Diceros bicornis minor: one gene and its partner. The protein of the gene in region 1 purifies or fractionates together with the protein of each later gene. This does not show direct contact. Links are inferred from orthologs where the notes say so. Each region holds a gene or a part of one and is shown in the gene's direction. Other genes may lie near its edges.

Evidence for each region. Proteins that work in one complex are often made in the same cells at the same time.
Region 2: the proteins of HNRNPC (region 1) and CRNKL1 purify together in Homo sapiens (co-immunoprecipitation; 3 studies listed by BioGRID and IntAct, with this or other methods). This does not show direct contact. The link is inferred for Diceros bicornis minor from reciprocal best matches to the Homo sapiens genes HNRNPC and CRNKL1.

The regions. Positions count from the first base shown.
Region 1 is NC_080744.1:28,065,142-28,076,132, forward strand, and holds the start of HNRNPC (heterogeneous nuclear ribonucleoproteins C1/C2), read left to right. Parts: upstream 1-5,765; 5' UTR 5,766-5,885; intron 5,886-6,521; exon of another isoform or gene 6,522-6,567; intron 6,568-10,991. UniProt on the Homo sapiens protein: Binds pre-mRNA and nucleates the assembly of 40S hnRNP particles. Interacts with poly-U tracts in the 3'-UTR or 5'-UTR of mRNA and modulates the stability and the level of translation of bound mRNA molecules. Single HNRNPC tetramers bind 230-240 nucleotides.
Region 2 is NC_080758.1:46,549,852-46,560,755, reverse strand, and holds the start of CRNKL1 (crooked neck-like protein 1), read left to right. Parts: upstream 1-6,158; 5' UTR 6,159-6,258; coding exon 6,259-6,309; intron 6,310-8,210; coding exon 8,211-8,363; intron 8,364-9,427; coding exon 9,428-9,519; intron 9,520-10,335; coding exon 10,336-10,494; intron 10,495-10,904. UniProt on the Homo sapiens protein: Involved in pre-mRNA splicing process. As a component of the minor spliceosome, involved in the splicing of U12-type introns in pre-mRNAs.

The DNA.
Region 1 (10,991 bases):
CTCTGCTGCTGGCGGCCTGGGATGGATCCCCGGCGCACACCAACGCACTGCTTCTCTGGCCATGCTGAGGCCGAGTCCCACATACAGCAACTAGAAGGAAGTGCAGCTATGACATACAACTATCTACTGGGGCTTTGGGGGAAAATAAATAAATAAAATTATTAAAAAAAAAGAAAATTCCAGAAATAAACGATTCATAAGTTTTAAGTTGCACACCATTCTGAGTAGTGTGATGAAATCTCTCCCAGTCCCGCTGTATCCTGCCCGGGACGTCAATCATCCCTTTGTCCGGTGTATCCATGCTGTATACACTACTTGCTCATTAGCCCGTTAGGAAAAAACATAGTATACGTAGGGTTCGGGGCTATCCCAGGCATCCACTGGGGGTCTTGGAACATATCCCCCTTCCATAAGAGGGAACTACTGTAAGGGTCAGTTACGTGAAAGATAATTATTATGTGAAATATAATTTCATATTTGAAATGATCTGGGCCAGTTCACATAGTATTTTTATAACATTTAGATGTGTGCTCAAAAGGTCAATTCCTACCATTATATAAAATAAGCACTAATTATGAAATGTAAAACCTGTCAACTGATAAGCATTTTGTAAGCTGTACAAAGATTAGCCTAATGAAATATCACCAGAGGATAAAATCTTGCACCTCAAGAGCCAGAAGGAGAACAGATGGCAAGTGTGTTAAACAAGGCTTAACCTATAAGAAACCAGATTTAGGTCATTGCTGGGATGAAAATTAGAAAAGGATCAAAGAAGACAAAAGAAAAGATGGAGAAAAACATTTAGTAGGAAGGAGAAAAAAGAAATGGAGGAAACAAGAAAGAAACAGGAAGTCTTTCTAATTAAGTCATTTATTTTCACAGTATCTCCTTGAAGGGGATAGAGGCCTATATTACACAGGTCCATAGCATTCTATACTTATCTTTAGTAGCACTTAATAAAATTTATTTTAAGCAATTAATTAATTATTCATTTAGTATTTGACTCTGTTCTGAAGGTCAGGGGCCATGTCTATTTTGTTTACTTCTATGTTCCTGTGACCTGGCACAGAACTTGGCATAATGCTTATTACATAGCACGTACTTCATAAATATTTGTTAAATAAATGAGTAGGATTTTTCCACCTTTGCAAAACTTATATTATTAATAACTTGTAATGGTTATATGCACACATTCTAAAATCAGACTTCCTAGCATTTTTAGCTCCATTAACAACTAGCTGTGCTACCTTAGGCAAATTACTTAACTTCTCTGTGTTTTAGTTTCCTCATATTTAAAATGCGAATAATAAAATTACCAAATGAACTAATTCATGTAAAATACTTAGAAAAGTGCTTGATGCATGATATCCGCTCAATAAAAGTTATCTATTATTTTTATTATTATTAATATGAGGGTGACCAGTAATACTTAAAGTCAAATACTACTCAACCCCAAAACCACTAAATGGATGTCATGATTCAGAATTTCTTTAATCTTTCTAATTTTTTCAAGCTTTGTGGATAAAGATTTTTTGCTTGTTCTTTTATTTTTTAATTTTTAAGCTCAGTGTTTTGGTTATTAAAACAAAAATTTAAAAGTCCCTGACTACAGATTATAATACTTAGGTAAAAATAAATCCATATATACATTTTTTAAAAATCTGTAAACATCTATACCAAATAGTTAAAAATGGATGTTTTTGGAGAATGGATCACATAGGGATTTTCACTTTTTCTGTATTTCAAATTTTTACAATAATCACATATTTATCAGAAAAAAATCAAATAGGATATTTCCATTTGGAAAGCTTTAAAATAATAAGAAAGAAAAAACACACTGGAAGCCTTGAGAAGGTGTGTATGCAACCGAAGTGATGACTAATTTTATTAACAATGTGTAAAATCTTTTTTATAGAATCTGTACTCTAGAAGCCAGATCATCAGTAATCTATTCACTGGACTCTGTATTCCAAATTTCCCTAGTATGATTTTACCCACTGCCAAAGGCTTTTGGAATGAAAACAGAAATAGGTATAATGAAATACTATGTCAGATAACTAGTCAAACAATCAACCTATTCAATATTGTGATTCATACACATACACCAAGCACAAATTGGGGTCCATAAACAAAAGGATTACAGAACAAAACAGTGCTATCCTGTTATGGGATAAATAATGACTACGAAATGAGTTTGAGAAGGGGTGCAAAGTTTGAGAACTGGAACTAAGTTATATCCAGTTTTGTGACGTTTAGATCAATGCCTTGAGTATATAAAATACTTAAAGTCAAAAAAAACCCACTAAAGTATTGGTTGATTAAATAAGCAGTTGAATGAATCATCATGTATTCTTTAAAAGCATTAATTGGGACTTGAGTTGGGTTTTAAAGAATGGTTGGATTATGGGGAAAGAGAACAGCAATGTGGCCCATTGGAGTGGGGACAGCAGGGGCTGCCCAGGCATAGGGCCCTGTGGAGTGGAGAACACTGACAGGTAATGAGACAGTCAGGGAAGGGCTGTGAATGAAACAATTAAAAACGTAGGACTGGAATAGAGAGCTATTACAGGAGTGTAGTGTGGGAGTCACACAGTGAAAGTGAATGCTTTCAGATGATTACCATGACAGCAGTTTGCAGGATCAGCTTGAGGGACAGACTCAAGGTGGGAGAAACAGGATGCAGTAAAAGAGTAAGGGTCTTGAAAGTATTGTGTAATATCTTTATAATATTATTAATATAATAATATTAATATTAGGCATTTCATAGCTATTGCTGCTTTTCCTTTCTTCTTCTTGACAGGTGGCTTGGAATTGGGAGGAGAGAAGTTACAGCGGGTACATTATTCTGGTAAAACGCCCAAGCCACATAAAGCCTTCCTCAAATAGAATTACTTCTTGAATTAAAAATAAAAGTTCAGTTTTGTTTTGTTTTCTCTTTAGCCCAAGGTAAGGAGTTAACTTCTTCTCTGTTTCCTTACCTCTTCCTTCTCTCTCCCTCCACTCCTGGAGTCTGGCTAATGGCTGTCTTTCTACTCTACACAGCCACCCAATAGAAGAAGCATTCACCTTTAGAACTGTAAAGGTGTTTAGAGTAAGCAGAAGAGATCAACGGAACTTCCTTCCCTCCATCTCCCCCACCTAGGTTTACAGAGCCTTAAAACCACTGTCATGAATGTCTGCTATCAACATGGTGCTTAGCGTTCTGCCTTGTATTATGCTATTTTTGCACTAGTTTTCTCATCCTTAGTAAACTCTAAGTTACTTGACAGAGGTACTGATTGTTAATTCTTCATGTATCCTCCATTTTCACCCTACCTAGCATAGGAGTGAACTCCTGGAAAACATAAATGCTGTCTCTTAAGTACTTCTCTTGCACCAAATACAGTGCTGGTTAATAAGTAGGTCATGACAATGATCATGCAGTAAAACTGATTTCTGGTAAAATGAAATAAGTGGTTTTCATTGACATTTTATAGACATTTTTATTCTATGAGAACAATGAGTAATAAAACATGTTAGTGTTTATTTGTGTTTACTTAAGTCAAGAATTACATGAATTACACGTAGACCAAGCCTCACAGTCTCCGGGTCCCTCTGAGTTAAGTGCTATACAAAATATATAATAAAGAAAGGACAGTGTACTTGTTTGTCCTGGGAAAATAGCAATTTCCCCTGACAAATAAAAGTTAATAATTAATTAATTTAATACAAATTTAAAACAATCTCTGTTTAAGGCCCTGTGATATGTAGTAAGCAAGGGGAATACAGAGAGGAATAAAAATTAAACTCTGCCATCAAAAAACTTACCATCCAGGAGCGGAGAAGAGATGAGTGTAAAATTAACCACAGTGCTCTGAAGTAGTTTTAAATAAATTGCAATGTGGGCAATTGAGCTGAGGCTTCAAGCACTTGTAGAATGTTCTCTCTCTGATTTCTTGTTCAAAGTCGACGATTTGGAAAATATAGAAAAGCACAAGGAAGTGAAAAAAAAAAGCACATGTAATTGTCCCACCAGGAGAGAACCACTACTAACATTTTAGTATATTTTTTCTTACACACTTTCTGTTTTTGCTTTTTAAATTAGCTTGAAGCAATACATGCATATGGGAAAAAATTCAAACAGTATAGAAAGGCATACCATCGAAAAAGGTAGAAGGTTCGCTCCCCAAAGGTATTTTGAAATAAATTTCTAGGCCCAAGATGGAGACTCTCATGCTGGGTGACACGTCAGCAAACCGAACTTTCATGTTCCTGTAAACGCTCCAGTTGACCAGAAACGCAGTATATCCAATCCTCAAATACCAAGCCAGCTCTGGGCTATGTACTGTATTTATTTCCGTGTTCCTTGATCTTTCTAAATAAGGTCAGATACGCAAGCCCAGCCGATCATGCTGTTTCCGCCTGTTTCCGCGTGAGGCTTCTGATGCTACATGAACCTGGCTCCTGCCCTCGGCAAGAGTGCTCCACTGCTTGTGAGGCACTGCCTTCTCCCAATCCATGGATTGTTTTCCCTTGAATAAAGGACATCAAATTCGTTACTAAATTGTTTTAGTTTTGTCCTTTGACAGGTAACAGCCAGCTCCCTCGTGAATCGCTCTGGAATTCAGAATTAATTCAAAACTAATGCATAAAATTGCATTCACATACACTTATATCCCTTACTTATTACATACAGATGGAATCACATCATCTAGACAGTGTTTTGCACTTTGCTTTCCCTAATGGCACAGAGAAATCTGCCTCATTCTTAGTAGAGCTGGTCCTATTCCATTGCGTTCATGGCTGCTAATACAACGAGAGAGCCTGGCAGGCGACGACCCAGACGAGTAGATGGGAAACACGCCATTTCAGGATGAAAAGAATTAAGGGACCAGATTGTTTGGGGAGAGAGACAGAGGGGGAAGCCTATTTAGTGGGCATGTAGGGTTTTAGTAAGTGAGATGACTTGGGCCAGAGGATGGGCGCTGTAGCATTCCAAGATTGGAATTTAGACTTTCTTTACTTTTTGTAGTGGAGAAGAATTAGGAAGTCAGTTGGTTTAGGTGAGATATGGATTTTCTGAAGAAGGGCCCGACAGGCTATGAAGTGGAGTTGTCCAGGAGGGAGCTGACATTTGAGTCTAGAACCGAGAAGGGATCTAGGGTTGGAAAAACGGCAGGGCAGGTTAGTTTTCTACACACAAGACTAGGCCTAGTCTTCACTGCTCCCTCCCCACTCCAAGAAAAGTCCTTTCTTTATCCACAGCGCACGACGGAGGATTCACTCTGCGCGTCTCATTTTTCCTAGGCCCGGGGCTGGGGCAGAGCCTCAAGGCCTGCTACCTAACAAAACCCCTGACTCCTTCCCCGCCCCCGCGCCGCGGGAATTCCGAGATCTGGGCGAGCCTTCTAGCAGGCACTCTAAAGAGCAGAGATAGGACACCGTGGCCGCCAATCAGACCTTCCAGATACCCGGATGTGAAGTGGTGCGCGATACAAAGGCGAGCTTCTACCCAGCGCTTCGTCAGGTACAGTGGCCAATAAGCATTTCTCAGGCGATAAATGACAGGAAAAACAACCAGTTACAAACTAGCTTCTCTCACGCATGTGGAAATTCTCTTGCTTAGTCTAACCCACTACTGGTTGTGATTGGGCAGAATCGTGAAGAGCGGTAGAACTGTCTAATTAGAAGCGGGAGCGAGAAAAGTCGCAGCCAATAGGAAGATTCCTAGAAGTGGGGCGGGGGCTAGGCCTTCTCCTCGGCGGCAGAGGAGGCTCGGGGGCCATTTTGTGAAGAGACGAACCGGTTGCGGCCGCGTTGCCGACCTCGAGCAGCAGTCGGCTTCTTCACGTAGAACCCGGGGGTAGGAGATTCAGAATCGAATCTCTTCTCCCTTCCCCCTCCTGGTAAGTAGACGGGGCGGAAGCAAGGGAGGCGTTGGGTTCCTCGGGGAGCGCGAGAGTGTGCGGGAGAGGAGACGAGGGAACCTTCCCCTCGGTAGAGTAACCAGGCCCCGGTTTATTCTGTTGGCACTGGGGGATTGTGTCTTATGCTGGAGAGAGTTTTGTAGGTCTCAGCGCTTGCGTAGATTTAGCCTAGTGTCCTCTAGGCCACGATCCGCAGGGAAAACGTCCTTTTTCTTTTTCGCTCCCTGTGTTAACGGCTGCTTTCCTTTCCTTTTCTAAAACCATGAGGACTCCAAGAGAGATCGTGGAAGGAAAGATCGAGATGCGCATTGATATAGTTGAAGTTAATGTAGTACCGCTGTTTCCTGTTAAATTTAAAAATTGGGCGGGGGTTGGGGGAGGGTTGCAGAGTACATATTGTGCCGCAGGCCTGTAAATCCTGGAGCGTACCGCAGGGCGTAAGAATAACGAATATTATAACAATAGATTTAACATTTTGTTGCTTTTTATTTTATTCCTCCCTGAGCAAAAGATGGACCTCGAAATGGTTATTTTCAATTCTATTTTTAAAAAATATTGTAATCTCATTTACATATTAACAGTAATAATTAAAGCTGGCTTACTTTTTATCTGCAGGTTACAAATCACTTGAAATATATAAGTTAGTGGAACTTTGCTTGAGGTAGGTATTACTGTCTTTCTCAGACAAACTGAGGCGTAAGAGTGTTGGTTGCCAGGGTCGTATTAAATCAGTGAAACTGGTAAGGAATTTGATCACATACGATAGTCAAGTGGTTTTACCCACCTATTGGAATACTAGGTGCTAAAAGTAGTATATTATCTGGATGTTTACGAGGTCCTAGTTACAGCAACCACTAGCGGTAACTGGAAATTCCCAAACTGCACTTGGGAAAAATATTTACGAGAATTGCGTTTGTTGTTAATGTAACGTCCTGATAAACTTAAAATTTGACTTTCAGGGTATTCTCATATTAATTTTCCAGACCATCTAAACTTTAACAAAAATGCATGACTAAATAGTTTTAGGCACGTATTATAGTGCCTAGTATTTGCAAGGTCCTGAAACATGATTAAAAATTTTTGCTAAGCTTATAAAAATTACATAGGTTTCTAAATAGCACCCCTTTCACTTTTCTGAGAAATGGCTTTTTTTATCCTGGTGTAAGATTTCATTGATTTTATTTTTCTTAGTGTGTTAATTCTCACAAAAACTTATGTTATTAAGCACAGTTTAAACCAACACTGCAGGATAAATTCATCCCTTAGGAAACAAGTCTACTTGATAGAAAATAAAAGTAGTCTTATTATAGATAGCTATGCATTTGTTGATCCCTCACCGTGTAGATACTGTGATGGGGATTAAAGGCGTTGCCTTTATATTTTTTTAAGCCTAAACATATATATTATTATATGGGCTTAAAATTAAAGTTTATCCCTCTGCAGAACTGTTAGAAATGAGGTAAGAGCAGTGATTGGTTAATTCAGGAGATCATAGACTTAATAAAAATATTGCTGGCAAATAAAGAGAAATGTAAGGAATTAATGTTTAAGAACAATTATTGATAAGAGTTGAAATTATTTGAAGGGCACTTTTTTTTGCCTTAAGGTGTTAGAATTATGGGTTCCTTGAGATCGGCATGTACCAAGGTAACAGTTCCTTTGAGGTAATATTCATCTGGAATGATGTGGCCACAGGATTAATATCTGAAACAATTCTAGATGTGTTTTCAAATAGGTGGGCATTAGTAACATTTTCATGTTGGCTGGAGAGGAAGGATTTAAGTAGGATGACTTAAGTTGCACGTCTTCTGACCTTTTTGTGTGTTTCCCATACTCATGCCAGGGGAATGCTTGGTGTCCTGTTTGCTATTCCTTCTGTAGAGAATTAAACATACCATGTATTTGTCATTAGGTCTCTAGAGGGTTTCACATAGTATGCGACCTTTGTTTTGGATGGAATTGCTGTTAGAAACAAGCAAGGAATAAACTCCAAAACAGCTAGTTATTCTAATCTTTAAGATTAATTATATTAACTGGTGAATGTGTGGGATGTAAATTGGGGAGTGTGACAGTTGAAAGAATTTTGGCCTAGGAGTTAGAGAACTGGATTTTAGCCCCTGCTGGTTATTAGCTGTGTCAGGCAAATCAGTTAAACTTTCTGGGTTTCAGTTTTATACTTATGAGGGGGTTTAGACTTGTTACCTTTGTTAACTGCTGATTTCTATAACTCAAGTTATTTGTTGCTGGGTGGCTGAAAAGTATACAGAAATAATTTTATTATTAAAAGCAGTTTTTTTATAATAGTAATTTTTGTTAACTGCCTTAATATCAGTATTTTAGTCTTCAAGTAATTTTATTAGTAGTAGTTTTTGGGGAATAGTATTTGCTCATACTTTATATGTATACTCATTCATTCTCATTGGGATCAGGGAAGATTATGGTTTTGTACGTATTAGGTTTACTAGAGAGTTGACCATGGTGAGAACCAGAGCTATTAGATGTAGCATAACTACATGGATTTTCTTAGATATTGGAAATTTGGGATTTATAAAGGGAAGAAGGATTACTATAGGATTTTTTTATCCTCTTGGTGCGTTTATTATGATAGGTTATAATGTTCTTGGATTTATTTTATATCAATCTTAAACTCTTCACAGTGGTTCTTGAACATGAGCTGACATCAGAATCAGCAAGAGGGCTATTTAAAACAGATTGCTGGGCTCTCCACCAGTTTCTGATTGAGTCTGGGTTGTGCCCCAAGAATTTGCATTTCTAATTAAGTGCCAAGTGATGCTGGTTGGCAGACCTCGCTTTGAGAATACCCCTTTCGAGGAGGAATCGGAACCTCCCAGAGATTTGACAGTTTAATCTAAGTATGCTGTTGATTGCAAAGCTTTACAGTTAGGTGCTAAAGTTGTTTGGTCTTTGTTTATGAGTGATAGCTCATCAATTTAACGTAACGTCTTGGGAGACATCTTCACTTTGAAAGATGTAAATGCTTTTCTTTTTTTTTTTTTTAATTTTATTTATTTATTTTTTCTCCCAAAGCCCCAGTAGATAGTTGTATGTCATAGTTGCACATCCTTCTAGTTGCTGTATGTGGGACGCGGCCTCAGCATGGCTGGAAAAGTGGCACGTCATTGTGCGCCCGGGATCTGAACCCCGGCCGCCAGCAGCGGAGCGCGTGCACTTAAAACCGCTAAGCCACGGGGGCCGGCCCAGAAAGATGTAAATGCTTTTCATATTAACTGACTCTTTTTAAGAAACATCTTCACTTTGAAAGATATAAATGCTTTCTTTTCATGGTAATTGCCTTTTTTTAAGCTTACTGTCTTGTGACAAGTGCAGAGAATTTGTTTGTAGATGAGCCACGAAGTTATGTAATATATCCTGAAAATTTTGAGTACTGGTTTCAGGCTGTGACTCCAAATAAGAAAATTGAATGTTTCACCATAACGATACATCACAAACGCTGACTTGAAGAAGATAACATTCAAATGATTGTACGTTTTCTATGACCTTTTCTTCAGTTACACATTTGTACAATTTAACACATCAATCCAAGTGTAAAAGTAACTTATATGTCATGCCTAAATTGGTCTGCGTTTATTTTATTTTATTTTTTTTGCTGAGGAAGATTCGCCCTGAGCTAATATCCATTGCTAATCTTCCTCATTTTGCTTGAGGAAGATTTGCCTTGAGCTAACATCAGTGCCAGTCTTCTATTTTGTATGTGAGTTGCCGCCACAGCATGACTGACAAGTGGTGTAGGTCCACGCCTGGGGTCTGAACCTGCAAACCTGGCCTGCCCAAGTGGAGCATGCGGAACTTAACTTCTAAGGCATGGGGCTGACCCCTGTATTTAAATTTTTAAAAATTTAAAATTAAAATTTTAGAGTTATAATACCTATTCTGTTGTCATCATTCATACGTAATTGACTCAAGGAACACTTTTAAAAAGCTCAGCTTAAGATTTTTCATTTTACTGACATTTGTAAAGGAAAATAAAATATCATGGCTGAATATTGAAGTGTGAGTGCAACCACTTCATTCTTATTTACTCAGAGACCTATAATCTAATTGCAGATCTTGTTTTTGCTGATGAAACAGCCAGTCCAACATGTAGTTATTCAGTGTGGTGTTATGTATCAGATCTTATAATTCATATCTTGGAATTAGCTATATATACTACTTAATAAACAGTGGGGCCATGGGGACACGTTCCTTAAGAAACATACTTTTATTTCTCACCTGTTTTATGACATTAAATATTCAGTAGCTGCCATAATCTTTTTTTCTTTCATCTGTGGTTTTTCATTCTGTCAGTGAGTGGAATAATGTGCTCCTTATTTAAAGCATCTTTCTCCCTTACTGTTGAACCTATCGGGTCATGTGGTTTGATCACTCATTGATTTTCAGAATAGATGTTATCTCTACTATGTATCTTCATGGTAGGCCATTCTTCAATCTATATCATAGGAAAAACTACATGGACTTAAAATTTAGAACACATGAATCTCCTTACCTTCATATTCTTGATGTTTGACATTTGCTCACTTCTTCATCTCTGTCAGCCTGGTTTTTCTGTACTTTCTTTGCCCAGACTGCTGATTATCAAGATGAATGTTAGAATGTAGACCTTTTTTTGAGACTCTAAGGACATACAGGGGCGTATTTAGTTAATTTTAGTCACCTACTGATGTTAAAGCATTGTAAGGACAGTCACTGGTAGAGGTGATGAGAGGCTCTCCCCATCCCAGTGGAATGTTATGCATTACCAAAATGTGTTAGATGCAATGGACAGATATTTCTGTCTTGGGGGTTTAGGGCACAACATTTCTGAGGAACTCTGACTCAATCTGTCCCTTCTCCTTTCACAGGGCAGCAAGGCGAACCCCATCCCTACTCACTGGAGCTCAGCTTTGATTTTTAACCTCCCTTCCCCACCCTTCCAGAACACACACATTCCCATTCCAAAACTGATTTTATAAAGACATTTTAAAGATAATGACGCAACTTGGTGTGCACTACAGCAAATTTACAGGTGTTTTTTTTTTAATTGTTTCCAAACACGGGACCTGGATT
Region 2 (10,904 bases), on another chromosome or scaffold:
ACAAACAAAGCCCAAAGCCAGCAGAAGGAGAGAAATAATAAAAATCAGAGCAGAAATAAATGATATTGAGACCAAAAAAACAGTAGAAAGGATTAATGAAACAAAGAGTTGGTTCTTCGAGAAGATAAACAAAATAGACAAACCCTTAGCCAGGCTAACTAAGAAAAAAAGAGAAAAGGCTCAAGTAAATAAAATTAGAAATGAAAGAGGAGAAATTACAACGGACACCATGGAAATACAGAGGATTATAAGAGAATACTATGAGAAATTATATGCCAACAAATTGGACAATCTAGAAGAAATGGATAAATTCTTAGACTTATACAACCTCCCAAAATTGAACCAAGAAGAAATGGAGAATCTGAATTGACCAATAACAAGTAAAGAGATTGAAATAGTAATCAAAAACCTCCCAAAAAATAAAAGTCCAGGACCAGATGGCTTCTCCAGTGAATTTTACCAAACATTCAAAGAAGATTTAATACCCATCCTCCTCAAACTATTCCAAAAAATAGAGGAAGATGGAACACTTCCTGAATCATTCTATGAGGCCAACATCACCCTGATACCAAAACCAGACAAAGACAATACAAAGAAAGAAAATTACAGGCCAATATCGCTGATGAACATTGATGCAAAAATCCTCAACAAAATATTGGCAAACCGAATACAACAATATATTAAAAAGATCATACACCATGATCAAGTGGGATTTATACCAGAGACGCAGGGATGGTTCAACATCCGCAAATCAATCAACGTGATACATCACATCAACAAAACAAAGAATAAAAACCACATGATCGTCTCAATAGACGCAGAGAAGGCATTTGACAAGATACAACATCCATTTATGATAAAAACTCTCAATAAAATGGGAATAGAAGGAAAGTACCCAACATAATAAAGGCCATATATGACAAACCCACAGCTAACATCATACTCAACAGGGAAAGACTGAAAGCCATTCCTCTGAGAACAGGAACGAGGCAGGGCTGCCCACTCTCACCACTCCTGTTCAACATAGTACTGGAGGTTTTGGCCAGAGCAATTAGGCAAGAAAAAGGAATAAAAGGAATCCAAATAGGTAACGAAGAAGTGAAACTCTCACTATTTGCAGATGACATGATTGTATATATAGAAAACTCTAAAGAATCTGTTGGAAAACTGTTAGAAACAATCAACAACTACAGCAAAGTTGCAGGGTACAAAATCAATCTACAAAAATCAGTTGCATTTCTATATGCTAATAATGAACTAACAGAAAGAGAGCTCAAAAAGATAATACCATTTACAATTGCATCAAAAAGAATAAAATACCTAGGAATAAATCTTACCAAGGAGGTGAAGGACCTATACAATGAGAACTACAAGACATTATTGAGGGAAATCTACGATGACATAAAGAAATGGAAAGATATCCCATGCACGTGGATTGGAAGAATAAACATAGTTAAAATGTCTATAGTACCTAAAGCAATCTACAGATTCAATGCAATCCCAATCAGAATCCCAATGACATTCTTCACAGAAATAGAAAAAAGAATACTAAAATTTATATGGGGCAACAAAAGACCCCGAATAGCTAAAGAAATCCTAAAGAAAAAGAACAAAGCAGGAGGCATCACAATTCCTGACTTCAAAACATACTACAAAGCAATAGTAATCAAAACAGCATGGTACTGGTACAAAAACAGACACACAGATCAATGGAACAGAATTGAAAGCCCAGAAATAAAACTACACATATACGGACAGCTAATTTTCGACAAAGGTGCTAAGGACATGCAATGGAGAAAGGAAAGTCTCTTCAATAAATGGTGTTGGGAAAACTGGACAGCCACATGCAAAAGAATGAAAGTGGACCATGTGCTATCGCCATTCACAAAAATTAACTCAAAATGGATCAAAGACCTGAAGGTGAGACCTGAAACTATAAAACTCTTAGAAGAAAATATAGGCAACACACTATTTGACATTGGGTTTAAAGGAATCTTTTCGGATGACATGCCTACCCAGACTAGGGAAACTAAAGAAAAAATAAACAAGTGGGACTTTATCAGACTAAAGAGCTTTTATAAGACAAATGAAACCAGAATCAAGATGAACAAACAACCAACCAGCTGGGAGAGAATATTTGCAAAACATACATCTGACAAGGGGTTGATCTCCATAATATATAAAGAACTCACACAATTGAACAACAAAAAAACAAACAACCCGATCAAAAACCGGGCAGAGGAAATGAACAGACACTTCTCCAAGGAAGATATACAGATGGCCAATAGGCACATGAAAAGATGCTCAACATCACTAATCATCAGGGAAATGCAAATCAAAACAACACTAAGATACCACCTCACGCCCGTTAGAATGGCTATAATCACCAAGACAAAAAACAACAAATGTTGGAGAGGATGTGGAGAAACAGGAACCCTCATACACAGCTGGTGGGAATGCAAATTGGTGCAGCCTCTATGGAAAACGGTATGGAGATTCCTCAAAGAATTAAAAATAGAGATGCCCTATGATCCAGCCATCCCACTACTGGGAATCTATCCAATGCACCTGAAATCAACAATCCAAAGAGGCTTATGCACCCCTATGTTCATTGCAGCATTATTCACCATAGCCAACAAGTGGAAGCAACCTAAGTGTCCCTCGACTGACGATTGGATTAAGAAAATGTGGTATATATATACAATGGAATACTACTCAGCCATAAAAAAAGACAAAATCGTCCCATTTGCAACAACATGGATGGGCCTGGAGCGTATTATGTTAAGTGAAATAAGCCAGAAAGAGAAAGACAAACACTGTATGATCTCACTCATATGTGGAATATAAACCAACACATGGACAGAGAAAACTGGACTGTGGTTACCCGGGAAGTGGGGGTGGGGGGTGGGCACAAGGGGTGAAGGGAGTCATATATGGGGTGATGGACAAACAAAAATGTACAACCCAAAATTTCACAATGTTAGAAACCATTAAAATATCAATTAAAAAAAAAAACAAAAACAAAACTTAAACTAATTGGATGGGCTAAAAGCATATTAGACAAGATTGAAGAGAATTAATGAACTGGAAGACAGTTATGAAGAAATTATCCAGAAAGAAGCACACAGAAACAGGAAAATAGAATGCACTTAAGAGACATGTAAGACAGAATGAAAAAAAAAATCTGTCTTATAGGAATTCCAAAAAGGATAAGTAAAATGTTGTTTGAAAATAACAGCTAGTGATTTTTTAGGATTCATGAAAGACATGAAACCTCAGTTCTGAGCAGGAAAATAAAAATAAATCCTAAATATATAATGGGGAGACAACCCCAAAGACAAAGAGAAAACCCAAAAGCAATCAGATAAAAGACAGACTGCCTATGAAAGAATAATAATCAGACTAAGAGTGCGTTTCTCATCAGCAACAATAGAAGCCAATAGAACAGAGGTTAGCAAACTTCTTCTGTAAAGGACCAGATAATAAATATTATAGGCCTCATGAGCCATATGCCGTTTGAGCATTTACTCAACTCTGCTATTACAGTACACTAACAGCAAGAGACAATATGAACACAAATGAGCATGACTGTATTCCAGTAAAATTTTACTTTTGGACATTGAAATTTAACTTTTATATAATTTTAGTGTGTCCTAAAATATTCTTTTGATTTTTTCAATTATTTAAAAATGAAAAAAAAATTCTTAGCTCATGAGTCACACAAAATAGATAATGGACCGGATTTGGCCTATGGACTACAGCTTCCTGACCACCAGAATAGTATTTTAAAAATACAGAGGGAAAAACAACCATTAACCTAGAATTTTACACCTAGCTAAACAATCATTTAAAAATAAAGGTGATATAGGGGCCGGCCCGGTGGCACAGCGGTTAAGCGTGTGTGCTTCGCTTCAGTGGCCTGAGGGTTCGCAGGTTCAGATCCCGGGTGTGCACCAATGCACCTCTTGTCAAGCCATGCTGTGGCAGTGTCCCATATAAAAAGTAGAGGAAGATGGGCACAGATGTTAGCCCAGGGCCAGTCTTCCTCAGCAAAAAGAGGAGGATTGGCATGGATGTTAGCTGAGGGCTGATCTTCCTCACAAATAAATAAATAAATAAATAAATAAATAAATAAATAAAGGTGATATAAAGACAATTTCATACAAATGCTAAGAGAAATTACCATTCAAAGAACCCAGTTGAAAGAATTAGTAAAAGGCGTATATCAGGAAGAATAAAATTAAAATCAGAAAGGAGTAGAATACAACATGAAATGCTGGGAGGAGAAAATGAAAAACGCAGGTATATCTAAATAAGTATTGATAGCAAAATGAAAAGTAATAATCATGATAAATTTTGCTTAAAAAAAAAAGCTGAGTTGAATTACCAGACAATAAAAACTTGTGAGATGGAAGGATGGCGATCTGAAGTAAAGCCTTCTAAGGTGCTGTATCTTTGAGAGGAGGCTAGAGATGATTAACTTTAAACTTTGTTAAATGGATCATGCATAGTTACAAATTTAAGGGAAACATCTTTTTATTTTAATAGTTATTTGTTTATTTTGTTAGGTCACTTCTCTTTATCATAGTGATATAAAATCTCATTCAATTTATTTAAAATTTGAAAAGTGAGATAAAAATATTTAAACAATAATATAGGTGGTACACAGCTATGGCAAATATTTTTACATTGGTTACAAATGACTGCAGTTTGGGAAATCAGTGTAAAATTTTTTCGAAAGCAGTATCTGCAAAGGTAGACATCATATTTCTACATACCTAAACATATAAATATATTTCTTCCAAACACCAAAAGAGACTTGCAGCTGTCAGAATTCTCTTAATCAATGAGCTATCAAGACATGTAAGACATGGAGGAAGCTTAAATGCATACTACTAAGTGAAAGGAGCCAATCTGAAAAGTCAACATACTACATGATTCCAATGATATGATTCTGGAAAGGCAAAAAACTACGGAGATCATAAAAAAAAATCAGTCATTGCAGGGGGCAAAGGGGTGGGGGGAAGGATGAACAGGCAGACTACGGAGGATTTTTAGGGCAGTGAAACTATTCTTTACCATACTCTAATGGTGAATCAATGTTATTATATTATTTGTCAAATCCCATAGAATGCATAGCACGGAGAGTGAACCCTAACATAAACTACAAACTTTGGGTGATAACAACGTGTCAATGTAGGTTTATCGACTATAACAAATGTACCACTGTGGTGGGGGATGTTGATAGTGGGGAGGCTGTGGGAGTTGGGAGGGTGTGGGGGGGTGCTGGGGAAATACAAAATTCTGTGAACCTTTCACTCAATTTTGCTGTGAACCTAAAACTGCTCTAAAAAATAAAGACTTTTTTTTTTTTCTCTTAACCATTTGCTTGCAGATAATTAATTTTTCTGTTTCTGTAGGCAGGACAAGAATTACACCAGCTAAAATTTACTGAGCACTTTACATAGGTTTTCTCTTTAATCCTGGTGAAATGGATATTATTACCCTCGTCTTACAGTTAAGGACATTGAGGCCAAGAGAATTTACATAATTAAGGCACTCAGAATTTAAACATCTGTTTATCCGACCACAAGTCTGGCTGGTTTGCTAGTACTCTGCTGACTTATTTTTTTTCCCTATTATCTGGTTTTAAAACACCGTCCGTTATTTTTAATCACAAACCTTAGAGTTAATTATTAGAGCACAAGTGTGCAGAAGGGGAGTGGACCTCAGAGACTACAAAGCCTAGAATGCAACGCAGCGCCGGCCGCCTAGGAGCGCAGCACCTTGCCCCCTCAGCATGCTGGGAATGCTAGTTTTCTGGCCTGCCGATCTTCGCCAGCCCTCGAGCATCCGGCCCGGAGCTTGGTTCCCACTCCCTTTGCCGGGCGCCACAGCTCGACAGATACACCCGTCCTCGCACGGTCATCCCAGTCCTGGAGACTGACCTGGGGACGCGCCCCTGACGCCCTAGACCCTGTAAGAGTGTCCCTGCAGGGCAGGCCAGCGCTACCTACCTCAACCGCAATTCCCGGACGCGGCGCTCCACCCCCGGCTCCAAGGAGGACGCGCAGCTCGGTTACCACGGAAACGACGCTGCCTCCGTCACGGTGCGTGCTGGAGGTCAAAGGTCACCCCCAGTCAGTTCCGCTTCCGGTTCCAGGCTCCAGTTTGTTGTCAGAAAGCTTTGGAGAGTCGTTGAGTTTTGGGGGCTGGTTTCTGGGGTCCAGGGGTCGCCCGAGGTCTGCTGCTGCAGCCATGGCGGCCTCCACCGCGGCTGGGAAGCAGAGGATTCCCAAAGTGGCCAAGGTAGGCGATAGCGAGGGGCCTTGTGAGAGGAGGCCTGGGAGAGGGGCTTGCCTGAACCCCCGTGGTGCCCGGGGCGGGAGAGTGTTGTCCCGGGCGCAGGCCCACCCGGTGCGGGGCCGAGGGAGAGAAGGAGAGGAAGGGTCAGCCGGCGGTGGGCCGCAGGCTCTTGTCACCACGGAGCAACCCGCATGGCCTTCGTTCTGGGGAGTTGTGTTTGCGGACGGAGGATTGGGGTCATTTAGCAAACATGAACCGAGAAACGCAGTGCGCTCGGCGCTGGGGAGCTACGCTTTAATGCGGGCCACGAGCAGTACTCAAATTTAAGACACGAGTAAGTGTAAAATTGCAGCCTTACCAAGTGCTACTGAGGCAAAGTAGAGTAGGCCGTGGAATAATGAAAGTTGTGTGAGGGGGTCTCCAGAGTACATTTTGCTGAGGAAGTGACATTTAAGCCGAGACTTGAAGGCTGAGTAGGAGTTAACCCAGCTGAGAGTGGACGGAATGAGAGTAGATGACAAGAGTTATGTAGAGGCATAATTTAAGTTCATTAAACAATAAATTTGATATTATCTGATATTTGCATCCGTAGCTGATACTTACCGAGTGGCTAATAGGTGACAGGCTTTGTCCTGAGCCTTTACAGATACTCTTCCTCCAGTCTGTTTCTCCAGCCCAGAGGGCTCTCTTGAGCTTGTCCTTTACATATCCATTTGGATGACTCCCAGAGATGATGCATCTAAAGCACATAGCATAGTGTCTGGCCGTTAATGCACATTAGATATGAGCTGTCATCATTATCATCATCATTATTCTACACATGGCATTAAATAATTAATGTTTTTTATAATTCAGTTACATAAACTTGTATTGGGCACCACTGGTCCAATGGAAATATGGTGTGAGTCACATATGTAATTTTGTTTTCTCATAGCTACATTAAAAAGTCAAAACGGGCCAGCCCTGTGGCAGAGTGGTTAAGTGAGTGTACTCCACTTTGGTAGCCCGGGGTTTGCAGGTTCAGATCCCGAGCGCGGACCTACACACTGCTCATCAGGCCATGCTGTGGCAGGCATCCCACATACAAAAAATAGAGGAAGGTTGACCCTGATGTTAGCTCAGGAACAGCCTTCCTCCCACACACACACACACACACACACACCACACACACACACACACACACACACACACACACAAAAGTCAAAACAGGTGACATTAATTTTAATTACATATCTTATTTAACCCAGTGTATCCAAGATATTGTCATTTCAACATGTTATCAATATTAAAAATTTTAATTAGGTAGTTTATTCTTTTTTTCATACTAAGTCTTCAAAATCCACTATGAATTTTACACTTACAGCCCATCTCAATTTGGACTCACCACATGTGGCTCATGGCTACTATACTGGACAGCACAGCTCTAAGACCTCAAGAAGCTTACAGTCTAATGATGGGAACTTACTGAATATTGTCTTTGACTTGGAATGCCATGAAAAACCAAGTACAATTAACCATGTGGGGCATAAGTTGAAGAATTCTGTAAATAGAGGTTGTAATGCTAGATAAAAAATGGTATACATCTTGATAAAACAAAACCTCTGGTGACAGTTGTACCTAGGCAGTCTCAAAGTTTATTATTATACTAATCTAAAAGGGAAAACTTGCTATTTTTGCTACCTTTTCTCTTAAGACTTTTACCCATGGCTTTGTAATAAATACCATGCATAAGATAGAAAACATAATTTTTTTTCTATTTAGTTTCGTAGAGAAATGGGAACATGTCATACAAAAAGGGCATCTTGTAATAATACTTATAAAATTCACATCCTAAGAAATGTTTGTTTCCTAAACCTTGTGTGAAGATCATCTGCTAAAAATAGAAATGTCTTCTGTCTTAAAAGGTGAAAAACAAAGCCCCGGCTGAGGTACAGATAACTGCAGAACAACTCTTAAGAGAAGCTAAAGAAAGAGAACTTGAGCTTCTCCCACCTCCACCTCAACAGAAGATCACAGATGAAGAAGAGTTAAATGATTATAAACTAAGGAAAAGGAAGGTCCGTCAATGTGATATCTTTTAGTCTATTAATATTGTTAAGAATTTATAGGTCAGAGTTTGAAAAGTTCCTCACTGGTTAGAGAGACTATAAAATAAGAAGGGGTTAGTGTTTCTAGCCACATGCATAATATAACTTCTGGTTACCAGATAACTGCCTTTTGTTGAACTTTATAAAGTATGCCATGAGTTGGCTGTTTCAAAGTATAAAGTAATTAAATCCGCCAGACACCTAATTTTTGATGCTGAATCAAAGATGGGTAGAAGTTTAACAGGTGGAACAACTGACAGCTGGAAAAGGGGTGGACTTAGCAAGACAGCGTTATGTACTTCTGTCTGTACCACTTTCTATGTTAAGAGTTAAGACCTGGGAGAGAGCCATGAGAAGACTCAGGGATCTGATCTGACCTCCTCTCCCTAGAGTGTAGGATTATTTTAAACCACTAATCCTATTGTATCAACTTATTAGTTATCCTCAGTAAGTTTATGTATGAAATTCTGAGACATTACTGGGAGGACGTAAATAGTCAAAAACGTTTTCTTATTAGGAACAAGTAGAGTATGTTAAAGTATCAGTTAGTTGTTAAGAGTAATAAGAGAAAATATCAACAATTCTGCTAATAATTCTTAATATCTAAAGTTTTTGTTTGCATGTAAGAGTTGAAAGAAATACCTGTGATTGTAACCTTCTTTCGTGGGTTTCTTATTTCTCAAGGATTCTTGGATGTAATTTCTCTTAAATAAGAACATAATGGGCCGGCCCCGTGGCTTGGCGGTTAAGTGCGCGCGCTCCGCTGCTGGTGGCCTGGGTTCGGATCCAGGGCACGCACCGAGGCACCACTTCTCCTGCCATCCTGAGGCCGAGTTCCACATATAGCAACTAGAAGGATGTGCAGCTATGACATACAACTATCTACTGGGGATTTGGGGGGAAAAAAATTAATTAATTAATTAAAAAAAAAAAGAACATAATGAATAACCTTTTTAGTACAAGAATCAATACACAAAATGTAATGTCATTTTTCGTTATTTTCCTTTAATTTGACCCTTTTTGCCTTCCGCCAGACTTTTGAAGATAACATAAGAAAAAACAGGACTGTAATTAGTAACTGGATAAAATACGCACAATGGGAAGAGAGTCTAAAGGAGATTCAAAGGTAAAATTGCTGAGCATCATTTATGTCAGTTTGTACATAAAGACATCATAAGGTAATAGATATAAAAAAATAGAAAAAGTTAACGCACAAGTAAAAGATTGTGCCTCTGGTAGTAATTTTCCAAAGTTTGTTCCACGGAACCCTAGGTTTCCTTTGAAGGGCCTCAGGGGCACTATGGTAGGCTAGTCCTGGAGGGAATAGCGGAGGAGGCTCTATAGTTAGGTCTCGCCACTAACACACACTCTACAGCCAGAGAAGTGCAGTTTCATCTGCTTTCTCTGTATTGGAATTTTTTTTAATAAAAATTGTTCCACTGAAGACCAGTGGTCAACAAGATTAAAAATCGCAACTGGCCTTTCCTGTTGTCCAGCCTTTCTGCATTCTCCCAGCATACCCCTTGCCACCACTGCGCCTGCATACTTGCCACTCCTGACTCCTGACTGTGACACTTGGTTGTTCTCTCTGCCTGGAGTGAGCACCCCTCCACATCCGCCTTGGCCTCTGGTACTTTCGTCAAGTCCTCAATTCTGGAGTTAGCCAGTGCTTAGCCTTTTCCATCAGATGTTTTTATTTCTTCCCCTCTGCTTCCTTGTGCAGATCTTAGCTATAACAGTTATCACATTGCATTGTAATTACGTGCGTGTCTTTTTCTAAGTCTTTGTAAGGTTCCTGGGCATATCATATCTTTTCTTATGCCCAGAACATGGCTCACGGTAGACACCTGATAAAATGGCAGGGCACTGCAGATGGTTTGAGATAATTACTACATGTGTTGTATGTACTGCTTTTGATGCCCTCCAAATCTTGCTTCTTAAGGGCTCGATCCATATACGAACGTGCCTTAGATGTGGACTATCGAAATATTACACTCTGGCTGAAATATGCAGAAATGGAAATGAAGAATCGCCAGGTCAACCATGCCCGAAACATCTGGGACAGGGCTATAACAACCCTGCCTCGAGTCAACCAGTTCTGGTAAGTTTCTGATCTAACGAAATGGCTTTTTGTAGACTAGAAAAGTTCCACATTCGTGTTATTTATTTTATTTACAGAATTGTAATCCTATGTATTTAATTTTACATCCTACTTTTTCTTTAAACCTACTAAAGTGCTTTTTAATGTTTTATAGTCTATTAGGTCATAATTACAATGTATAATAGCTGTAATCAAAACTAAAATTTTGATTGCAATCTTTTCTGCATAAGAAACTTCTTGTTGGGGCTGGCCCGGTGGCGCAAGCGGTTAAGTGCGCGCACTCTGCTGTGGCAGCCCGGGGTTCGCCGGTTCGGATCCTGGGCGTGCACTGACACACCGCTTGGCAAGCCATGCTGTGGTGGTGTGCCATATAAAGTGCAGGAAGATAGGCATGGATGTTAGCCCAGGGC